3 linked regions of the Coturnix japonica genome follow. The protein of the gene in region 3 purifies or fractionates together with the protein of the main gene of each other region. This does not show direct contact. Links are inferred from orthologs where the notes say so. Each region holds a gene or a part of one and is shown on either strand. Other genes may lie near its edges. The genes, in order: EPS8, FRS2 and SOS1.

Region 1 (3,748 bases), on a different chromosome or scaffold from region 3:
TCCATCTGGTGTGGCTGAGTGCTGCTTCTTCAGGGAAACCACTCACCTTTGATCAGTCATTCACTGTCTAGAAGACAAGGCTGACTTGGCAATTATAAACAGAAATGTAGGAGAAGTAAGTGTTAGACACTGAAATCAAAGTTAACAAGCACTTTATTAGTGCAGCTTTCACTGTGCAGTCTTCAGCTACGGTAGTGAGACAACAGAAGACTTGGAGAGCAAAGTTTTTATATATTTGATCTATTTTGACCCTCAGGGCACCAATTATTCAACTTCATGCGTTTAGGTTTTAATAAGTTTTCACCCACAAGGGAAAAAATATATAGCAGTTAATGTGAGTGAATTGCCATTCACAGCTAGAATATGGACAGAAAGAAAATCAATTGTATTTCATGAATTCAGTTGTCACCAAGTGGAAGGTGTTTTTTAAGGTGTGTTTTTCACAATAGAAGTGTCTTTAGAACAATCTTGGGCTCTGTATTATCACTATGAATAGACAGACACCTATTGGGTGTTCTTCCCTGTGGGGCTGCTACCTCCTTCCAATTATACCTAATGGGATGCTCTGAGTGCTTTCAAAATTACACACAATCAAAAACATTTATTGAGAGCTCTAAGAGTGCAAAACTCAATACTTCAACCATTATGAGTATGTGACAGTACAAGCGTTGGCCAAAGCCGGTCGTATATCCACAGCCTCCCCCAGACAAAGCAGCCATGCTCAGCTCCAGCAGACCTTTGAGCACAGTATCTCATTACCTGGAGGTACCCGTATGCTAACAATAACACTGCACTAGGGAGCTGTGAATCGAGCTGAGAAATGCTGCATCTTCTACACCTCCTGGGAACCTCACAAACTCTTTTGCAGCCCTCACCACTCATTGAAAGAAACTAGCAGCCCACGATAGGGATGGTCTAAGAGGCAACCACTTCTTAGAGGGCTCTGTTTGCAGAATTTCCAGTGGTTCTTTGTGGAATAGGGACTGCTCACACAACGCTGATTCAGTATTTCCAGTTGCTAACAACAAAAATGGTCATATGGAGGTTCTTCCATGTAAGCGATTTTTGTAGCTGACATAGCCATTGCAGTCACAAAGGAGAAGAAAGATGGTTAATAGGAAGGGAGGAGAACCCTATTTCTGATGACAAAAGGAAGGAGAGGCTGTGCTAAAACACAGTCAACACTGCCACGAAACCTGAGATCCATCATTTAGTTAATATTTCAGCAGACACAACCTAGCGGAGTAATATTTTTATCTCCAGTACTTCACTTGAAGTAAACAGACTCCACCAAAGGTCACACTGCAGAACGCCTGTACCTCGGAGGGGTACAGGAAGCACGAGTCAATGCAAAGCACGTTTTTAGGGTGTGAGTGTTGGTTCTCAAACAATATCCTTATGAAAAACTTGTTCTGCCCTGCTGCCAGCTGGCTCGAGACAAGGGTTGAGCAGAAGTGAAGGTGTCTTGGTGTTCATGATCATAACCCGGCCCTACAGAGGTGTTACAGGGGGCCAACAGCATCTAAAATCATTCACCAAAATGCCAGAAAACCTGCTTTCCACTGCGTGCCCAGGTCATCCTTGGTGCACAGCGCACAGGAGAGCGAGTCATGGCGGGGAGAGGAGCAGCAGGAGGAAGAATGGCAGGGAAAGTTCGCAGCGAGAGGGAGCGGGGAAGGAAGGCAGCAGGTCAGCGCACCCGGGAAACACGGGCATACGACGGGATTATCGCACCCGCCAGCTGCTCCTCGCCAGCTCCCAGCAACGCTGACTGGGAAGCCAGCTTAAAAGGTGGAAAACAATGATACGAGAGCCGGAGAGACAGCACGGCCACCTGAGAGCAGGTGGGGAGGGAGGTGACGAGCGCCGGGGACACGGGAGCCCCGCACTGGGTTCTCGGGCAAGGTGCGAGGTGCGGCGGCACCTCCGGCGGCACACACGCAGACGGAAGGGCTGCAACCCCAACACCGTCCCCAGCCGCGGAGCCTCGCACACACCGAAGGAGTTTTCCAGCGGCCCCTGCCCGAGCAGCCTCATCCTCCTTCATATGGCTTAACGCCGCGCAGCTCGCCGCGTTACGGAGCCGGGTTGGCTGCCCGGGGGGATTTCAGGACCGCAGCGTGAGAGCGGGGAGCGGAGACCCGAGAGAATCTCTCCCCGGCAGCCCGTTCTTACCTTGCGGGCTTCTCCTCCCTCGCGGAGGGTCGGGGGCGCCGGTGGCCGAGAGCGCGGCGTGGTTCGGTGCGGGGCCGAGCGCGGGGCTCAGCGCTACCAACAAAGTGTCGGAGCGGGCAGCGGGAACAGCCGCGGAGCGGAACGGAGCCGAGCTCCCTCTGCCGGCCCGCCCCGCCCCGAACACAGTCCCTGCCCCAGCCCGCGGCCGGGGCGGGCTCGGCCGTCGGCCAGCAGCGTTCTCCTGTTGCTGCGTGCGAGCCGCCCGCAGGATGCCGAGGTACTGAAAGCAGCCCCCCGGAGCCGGCCTGAGGTAGGCGGCTTGGTTCCAGTCATACTAAGCGTTAGCCAGAATCGCCACAAAGCCACACACAAAACCTACCAAGGCTCCGAAGCAAGGAAATAGGTGTATCTACACCGCCTGTGGGATGAGTCGGCTGCGAGAGCAACACGCTCCCGTCCTCAGTCTCATTTGAGGATGAAATCTCCTGGCTATCGATGCTGTTTCCATTTGGCTACGCGTGCCCCTTGCCCAGACAGCTCACACGTGGAACAACCCCGCACACACGCTCCGTGTAATGCTGCTGTAATGCTGCCTACGCTGGTGGCTTCTGTAAAGAGGCTCTGCCGCTGCTACAGTCAGGCTGCTCACTGAGGATCTCTCTTTTCACTGAGTTCCCAAAATTTCTGTCCTCCCTTCCGAGGACAGGCTGAAGGAGCTGGGGCTGTTCAGCAGGAGAAAGGAAGGCTCCAGGGAGACCTGAGTGCAGCCTTCCAGTATCTAAAGGAAAGCAATAGGAAAGAAGAGGACAGACACTTAAGCAGGGTCTGTTGTGATAGGACAAGGTTTGAGTGGTTCCAAGCTAAAGGAGGGGAGATTTAAATTGGATATGAGTTAGAAGTATTTCACACTAAGGGTGGTGAGGTACTGGAGCAGGTTGCCCAGAGAGGTGGTGGATATCCCATCCCTGGAGACACTCAAGGTCAGGCTGGACCAGGCTCTGAGCAACTTGATCTACCTGTGGGTGTTCACTGCAGGGGATTTGGGCCAGATGGCCTTTAAGAATCCCTTCCATCTCAAATGATTCTATGATTCTGATTATATGACAGGCAAAAAGAACCTCCCTTTGTGTATAGTAGCAAGCTAACTTCTGAGGTTGGGTTCCTGGTTCCTAATACAGTGGAATTGGCAATCCTGAAAGACTTAGAAAGACTTACAAGTTCCCCATAAATGTACGGTTAAGAGGAGCATCAATCTTTTAATGTCTAAAGTATGCAAACACCACAGCAGGACTGAGTGCAGTTACCCAAACGCAGCGATGAGTCTTTTCCGATGCAAAGTTTCTCTGATTCCAGGCCCTTTAACAACTCATACCAGGGAATTATAAGGTAGGGAAAGAGCAGCTGTGTTCTGCAGTTCCCATTTGATTCCAGGATATGGGACTTGGCAGCTCCATGCTCTCCATACCACTCTGTGAGTCACCTGCAGAGGCAGTGAAGGCAGAACCATCACTGCTTGCTCCTTTTCCTGGAGCAGAGGGTCCAGGAAGCAGGGAAAAGAACAATCTCCTGTAAA
Region 2 (3,648 bases), on a different chromosome or scaffold from region 3:
CTGTAGAGCTGCTTCTACTACATTGTTCCCTAACAAATGAGCCAGTTCAAATTCAATAGCCTACATTTCATTTTTGCTGTACTTCCAAAAAAATTTGCACCAGATACTTAAACCTCAACAGACCAAAACCAATAATAATAACAAATCTAAGAAATAAACAACAAGAACAGTGACTAGTACAATTGGTAAAAATGGCAGAGCAGTATTCTTCAGTACTTAATATTATGTAAGGAAGGCAAGAAACAAAAGAGGGAAGAAAGGGTTGCTGCTCACAAAGTCTACTTAATCTTCTCTTGAAAAGCAAACGAAATTGAAAGGGTAGAGAGAGTTGTACAGTCAGTGAAAAAGCTTGCAGACTTGGTAAGTGGCTGTGGAAAAGAACCTCCAAAATATCACTTTCAATTGAGTTTTATTAGTATCTACTTCATATATTTAAATGAAGCAGTGAATTAAACCTGCAAAAATCCATTTAAGTGCATTTTTTCAAACCAAAGTTCACACTTTTTTCCTCAGAAGTCTGAAAGTTTAGTTTAATGCACAGTATTCTGTAACATTTAAAAGCATCTCAATTTCTCACTAGGAGCTGAATCAAGAATGCCTTCTAAACTCTTACTGTAAATTAATTGTCTGCCCTCACCGCTGCTTTGACAATGAAGTTTGACCAAGTTTGGTTAGGATCAAGTTTGTTACTGTTCCTAACTTAATAGTGAATTTAAAAAGTATTTTGCCGTTGCTAAATAACGTGATTTACAAGAGATACAACCACATGCTGAAAATCTCTAAGAAAATAAGAACTCAAATAACACACTAGATCAATACACGAGAATTCCAAGTACATAGAGCTGCATCACAGCATGAAGATGCAAAACAAGGCTCAGACCTCAGCCCAATACAGCTATTCCTCCATCAGGGCCTGCTGTTACAAACAGCAACAGAAAAGCCTGTCTTGGCCAAGATGGGGGTGATCTGAGGGCTGGAAAGGAAACTGACTTTTTCCTGATCAAAGGCACACAGATGATAAGTCGGCATAGCTGGAGTTTCCAGTCTTCATATAAAATTTGAAAAGAATTGAGAACTATGTCACTGATACAAATGAAAGTGATATTAGTTTCAAGAAGAGGTTGAAACAAAGGTGTGATGCTGAAGACAATGAAAATAAGGTAAGCATAACCAGCTCACTCCAGCGTTTCAGACTCTTAAAAATATAAAAAATAGCAAACTTTGTGCTCTGAAAAGATTCCTCAACAGCCCCAGCTTTCCTTGCCCTTCCTTGAAAGCCAACTCAAACTCCAATGGCAGGGAAACTTCCCTGTGAAAACCTTCTAAGCTGACCAGAGCTATCAACCCCAAAACACCAAGTGCTCCAGAACAAAAACTGTGAACAACTCAAATTCTCATTTTACCATAAGCCCATTCCACTTACTTTTTTTTCCAGGAACTGCATCCACGTATAAAACTATGTCCATTATAACCATTGTCAAAGGGCAGGGAAGTACATAATAATGATTAAACAAGTTGTCAGCTATCAAATACACTTCTGAAAATCTCCTTATACAAAAATTCAACATACCTTGTCCAGTTTGACACCTTCTACCACTTTCAAAAGAGAAAAGATTTGAGTCGTAGCCATAGCGACGGAGACAGAGGTAGTGCCATTTTACGGAGTCCCTTTTACGGGTGTACAAAATTAGTTCTGTATCTGTAAGTTCCATTATGCCAGAACCCAGCTCATTACCATCATCATCCACATTAATAACCTACAGAAAGGAAGTTAAATAACATTAGGTAAGTAACTGAGCACCAGTACTACTATTATCATCTTAATGTTTCACTAATGCATCTATCTGCTCCATCATAAGAGCTGTGATCCTTTAGGTAAAGTTTAAGAGAAAAAAACTCACCAAACCAGTTCCTTTGCTCTTCCAACCCAGAATTAAAATTACACATATTTTAAAAGCAACATGAGTGAGAATATAAAACATTATCGCAAAATCTGTGGTGATACTTAAAATAGAAGAGATTTAAGGTTAATGAGGTTTCAAACTGACACTACGTACACATTCTAGTATTTACACGGGGATATCTCAGGTAATTAAATCTTTCAAAGTCTCATTTCTAAAAAAATTATTTACTCTGTCATGTAACCCCACTTACAGCTGAGAAAAGCACTGAGAAGAGGCTATAAGATGAAGCTTCCTTCACATACCTGTAGGGCCTTGCACTGTGCTCAGACTGTTTTAGATTGTTTTGTCTGTCAGTGTAATGTCAACAAATAATTCACATATCCTATGGTTATCTTATGTGAAAACACGTTACATTTAGAGCTTATATGCTTATTCCTTCTGCTCTTCCACCAGTTGGAGGTGGTCTGCTTCTTTTATGGAATTCTGACACTGTACTTTCCCCCAAAGGTATTTTATCTCGCAATGCTGCCTGTAGCGGAATTCTTTCTTATTCAGTAAAAAGGTTACAAAGAGCTCCCTATTGTACCAATTAATTTTACCCCTTAAAGAGGCATTTTTTACTTGAAATCTAGTCAGTTAAAAAGAACTAGAAATAGTTTCATCTGCCACTGAAGCTTATGACAAATTGCTTCATTTTGCAAATTACATTCTTTCATCTCTCCCCCCTGCTGCTAAATCAGGGAACCACACAAACAATAGAGAAAATCTACCAGGAGAAAAAGAGGAACTTGTTGCACAAAGTGATGTCAAATACATTAAAAAAAAAAAACAAAACACCCCAAGGCGACAGAAAAATATTTTATCCTTCAGCTTTTTGTACTGATAATATTAAACGTTTCCAGAAATTCCCATTGTTTTAAAGCTCATTTCAGTGTTGCCCGAAGGCAACGTATGAATCATTTTTCACTATGGAAGCTCTACATTCCTTTGCCAACTTGGAGAGAAAGTTCAGAGCACAGAAGCAGATCTGAGTTGTGTGACAATGCAAAGGTATGTTTACTTAAAGGCACTCATTTTAGTAGCTTCTTGTTGTTAAGCACATGAACAAGAGTTCACAAGCTTCTAAATTCCAGCAAGACAAGGGATAGAAGCACACATACATGAAGCTTATTTAAGTTAAGGAAAACAAATGTTCTCCAAATGATATAATTCACAGTGATCTTCAAGTACAATCTGCAGTCCTATAATATTTCATTGCTGACCCCACTTCCAGGTTTATTATCATACTTACCCAGTTATGTTTCTTACTCAACTCACATGGTCCGCAACCTCCTAGAAGTAACGGTGTTTAACTGGGCTCTACAAAATGCATGGAGTTGTACCAAAAACATGAGGCTGCTTCTCCACCCTTAAGACTGAAAGTCGGTCTGTCTACAGAATTTCTGTCACTGCTGCTAAGAAAAGATTTTCAAAGGGGCAAGATAAACCTGTAGCCACAGATACCTGCAGGTCTGCAATGCTTTGACCCATCAGGCAGTTCTCCTATTTTCATTTAGGTATTTCCCATCACCTACCTACTCCACAAGGAAGCAAGAAAACAATTGACAGCATGCTACATCAGGTGCTTACCTTAAACTTGTTTCGATGGTTATCTGGGACAGTTTCTTTATCTGGACAGCTACAGCAGCTACCCATGACTTCTTTAGAAGACCATGTGATCTCTGAAGTAAAAATTAACAAATCA
Region 3 (3,748 bases):
TATCTTGACAGGATCTGAAGGAGAATGGGAAGAAAAGGGATTACATTATGATCTGAATGGTACAAAAGCTGCTTTTTTCAAATGCAGCTGTTGAATGCAAAGACAGCGCAGCACAGACTCCATTGTTAAGGCCCATGTCTAATGAAATACATGGCACATGCTTGTAAGGCTTCATTGACAGAAGAAGCAATTTATACTTACTACACGCTTGCTTTTGGTAACAAAAAGCACAGAATCAAAATAAGTCATTGGGAAAGACAAAACCCTTTGCAATTGCTCAACAATACCTATTTTTCAGGAAGTGATTCTAGGGGTGCTGTTCGAGCTCCACGTTACAAGCCAACATGTATTTACGAAAGAGTAATGGCAGCCTTCCCCAACAGCTGGGAATGCAGCACGCTGGTATACATGCTTCAACGTTAAACACCATTCTCCTAATCAGCAACGGTAATTCAACATAGGTCTTCCCAAGTCTTTCTTCCAGCTATGCAGAAGAACGCAATGATCCTGTTTGGGTACCCAGCAGGTCTCAAGGAGGAATTCAGAAGCGTTATCCACTACCCAGGAGCATCAGAGCATGGTCAGCTCAATGGAGGCAAGAAGGGAAAATCCTCCTTGGTTCATGACGGGATGCACATCAGCACCTGATAACCTGAGCACAGAGAGCACGTGCTGCAGCAATTTAGCAAAGGCACACAGTGCTCTCCCTCTGGGAAGGTTCTGCCCTTTGGTCTTGCTGGCATTCACTGCCACATTCTCTCTGTTTTACTGGTCCCACACACAGACTCCAGGAGTGACTTGCTCTAAGAGGCAGAGCATGGGGACAGCCCTGAGCTACCCACTGCAGGGCTGCACCTGTCACCTGAGAGACAACAGACAGCTGTCAGAGCAAGCACACCGCAGCTCTCCTGGCTGCACCTGATGCTTAGGATAGGTTTGCTACTTTATGAGGCTGTTATCAGGACTAAGCACACTAGACAAGATAACTTGTACCTGTTTAAGTTAGTAAAATGCTCCATTTGGCCTCTTAATTAATGAAAAAGCTAGTAAGACAACAGCTGTATGTTCTCATCTGTCATTTGGTTTTCCTGTAACTCCAGAATCTGGCTTTTCAGCAAGGAAGGTGACAATACGGATGGGTTCTTTATTTCTGTATTTATGGGGACAGGAGCAGGAAGCACCAGAGGACTACACTACTGGAGCATGCTGGGCAACAGCACAAGAGGAGATAAGAAACAGGTGTAAACCTCATGAAAGCAGAGGTTCAAAGCACTAACATCTGCTCGACAGTCACACATCTGAGCATCAGAGCTTCAGAACTAACTCCACCTCAGCCCAGCTGCCCCACTACCACAGAGAACACCACACCATGAAACCGAGACAACTGTACCTCATGGGCCCAGCTGGCACCCGTGGAAGCTTATCTCCATAGGCTGCTGTTTGTGACTTCTGACCCTTCTTCTTCCTTTCACCTAAACAATTCATCCAGCTCCTCCAGCAAGCGTTCTTAATCCAAGGTGTCCCTGTGAATGTCTTTTGCTCGTTAGGATGAGATCTTGTGCTCCCAACACAAAGAATAATTCCAGGCTAAATTTTGCCTTGAGATCCTCAGTTCGCGTTCTTCTCCATTACTCAGCATCAACCCTTGCTCCAAGTCTGACAAACTGTCATGCCTCAGAATGCCCAGATCAAGCTCACTCCTCTGGAAGGTGCCTGGAGGCCGCAGGTGGCTCCAGCCCCCAGCTGGTGGCCATCCACACACACACAGAGGTGCAGGGAGAAGCTGTGAGCCGCACAGTCTGCTCGGCTGTGTGCTTCCAAAGAAGTGACTACCAAGAAGGACTGAAGCACAAACACAGCACGCTACGGGGATGACAAGTGAGAAGACTTCCAGTAACTGGATGGGGCTCAAAGAGCAGGCCCAAAACACAGGGTGACATGTCACAAGAGGAAACTGGGAAGAAATGCTGCAGTGGAACGACTGCAGTGCCTGAGACCTCCAAACTGCGATGGGGAACGAGAGGTCACCCGGCCCTAGGAGCAGGTCCTTCACCCAACAGCTGCCGTTCACAGCTATGGATACACGCAGCCATAAGAAAGCACTGCGGTGCATCCAAGCACCCCCCCGCTGCCAACCCGAGGCCGGTCCGGGCGGCAGCGTCAGACAGCCCCGTTCCTCACGTCCTGCACTTCCCGGGCCCGGCTGCAGGAGGACGGAGCGGCGCTCACCGTTCCTCCCCTCTTCCACACAACGTCGGTCCGCGCCTGTCAGCTCCACCAGCCCGAGGATGACGGCGTCCTACCGGATCCTACCGGCGGGGAGACGTCGGCGTCGGGTCCGGCTCAACCCGGGGCCGCTCCGTGTCCGCAGCCCCGGCTGTCACAGCGCCGCCGGGCCCGGCCGGGCGCGCTCCCCGGGCCGCTTCCGGAGCGGGGAGAGCGGGGAGAGCGGAGAGGCCGGGCCGCTTCCCACCCCCAACCCCCCGCTGCAGGCGGCACGGAGAAAGGCACGGGGAAAGGCACGGGGAAAGGCCCGGTGCGGCCGGCAGGGCCGAGCGCCGCTCCCACTTCCCCCCTCACCTTCTTCAGGGCGGGCACCAGCAGCCCCCGCCACTTGGGCGCGTTCTCCTCGCTGAAGAACTCGTAGAGCAGCGGCTGCGCCTGCATGGTGCCGCCGGGCCCGGCCCGCAAGGGGCGGCGGGCAGGGCAGGGCGGGCCGGGCTCGGCGCGGCGCGGAGGATCGATAGGCCGATAGGCCGCGGCGGGAGGTGCCGGGCGCCCCTCAGCAGGAGGCCCGTGGGCCCCCCGCCGCCGCCGGCAGCCCCGCAGCGGCGGGGGGAGGCTGCGGCTGCCGCATTCCCCGCCCGGCTCTCGGTGGTCGCCCCGCGGAAGGTCGCGGGGGCGGCGGGAGCGGGGTCACGCGGCGCGGCGCGCGGGCCGCGAGGGGCGGGGTCGGGAGCACGGAGCGAGAGCCGCCGCCTCCCGCTCTGCACTGAGACACCGCCACACACCGACCGGCGGAGCGCGGAGCATGCGCACTGACACAACGACCGCAACGCGACTGCGCAGCACCGACGCCGCCGCCGCGGCCTCCGGGTCGGAGGTGACCGCACGGCAACGCTCCTCCCGCGCGCCGCCTGCGGGTGAGGCCGGACCGGGACTGAGCGGGCGGCCCCTGCGGGGTGTGCTGAGCAATGAGTCCATCACCTCTATGGAAACACAGGCACACCGACCTGTCGCAGCTGGAAGGGCACGCTGCTCTTTAGGATCGTGCCGCTCCCTGTCGGTCACACAGAGCACAGCTCAGCGCTGCCCTCCGCTCCCTGTGAGGAGCTGCAGCCGCCATCAGCCCCCATCAGCTCCACACTGAGCAAACCTCAGCCGCTCCTCACACAGCTTTGGCCTGCAGGACTTTGTCCATCCTTGCAGCCCTCCCTTGGGCACTAATAATTTCGTTCACCAACCAGAACCCCACAATCTCTATCAGCACAGCTGCTCTCCAGCCTCTCACCCTGCACACAGACCTTGGGCTGCCCAACGCAGCTGCAGAATCCAGCACTTGCTCTCACTGAATTCATGCTGCTGGTGATTGCCCGGCCCTCTAATCTGTCGTGATATTTCTGCAAGGCCTCTCTGCCCTCAAGGAAAGAAACAGCTCCTCCTCATTTAACGCTGTCTGCAGAATATTGTACCTTCAGGTTTAATCTGCTTCAGAGGGCGCCATGCTGGGGGGAAGCAGTCCCCGGCC

The links.
Region 1: the proteins of SOS1 (region 3) and EPS8 purify together in Homo sapiens (affinity purification with western blotting; 5 studies listed by BioGRID and IntAct, with this or other methods). This does not show direct contact. The link is inferred for Coturnix japonica from reciprocal best matches to the Homo sapiens genes SOS1 and EPS8.
Region 2: the proteins of SOS1 (region 3) and FRS2 purify together in Homo sapiens (affinity purification with western blotting; 5 studies listed by BioGRID). This does not show direct contact. The link is inferred for Coturnix japonica from reciprocal best matches to the Homo sapiens genes SOS1 and FRS2.

Annotation. Positions count from the first base shown.
Region 1 is NC_029516.1:57,733,668-57,737,415, forward strand, and holds the start of EPS8 (epidermal growth factor receptor kinase substrate 8), read right to left. Parts: upstream 2,851-3,748; 5' UTR 2,555-2,850; intron 2,283-2,554; exon of another isoform or gene 2,176-2,282; intron 1-2,175. UniProt on the Homo sapiens protein: Signaling adapter that controls various cellular protrusions by regulating actin cytoskeleton dynamics and architecture. Depending on its association with other signal transducers, can regulate different processes.
Region 2 is NC_029516.1:32,187,387-32,191,034, reverse strand, and holds part of FRS2 (fibroblast growth factor receptor substrate 2), read right to left. Parts: intron 3,626-3,648; 5' UTR 3,600-3,625; coding exon 3,534-3,599; intron 1,758-3,533; coding exon 1,571-1,757; intron 1-1,570. UniProt on the Homo sapiens protein: Adapter protein that links activated FGR and NGF receptors to downstream signaling pathways.
Region 3 is NC_029518.1:14,500,415-14,504,162, forward strand, and holds the start of SOS1 (son of sevenless homolog 1), read right to left. Parts: upstream 2,785-3,748; 5' UTR 2,668-2,784; coding exon 2,581-2,667; intron 1-2,580.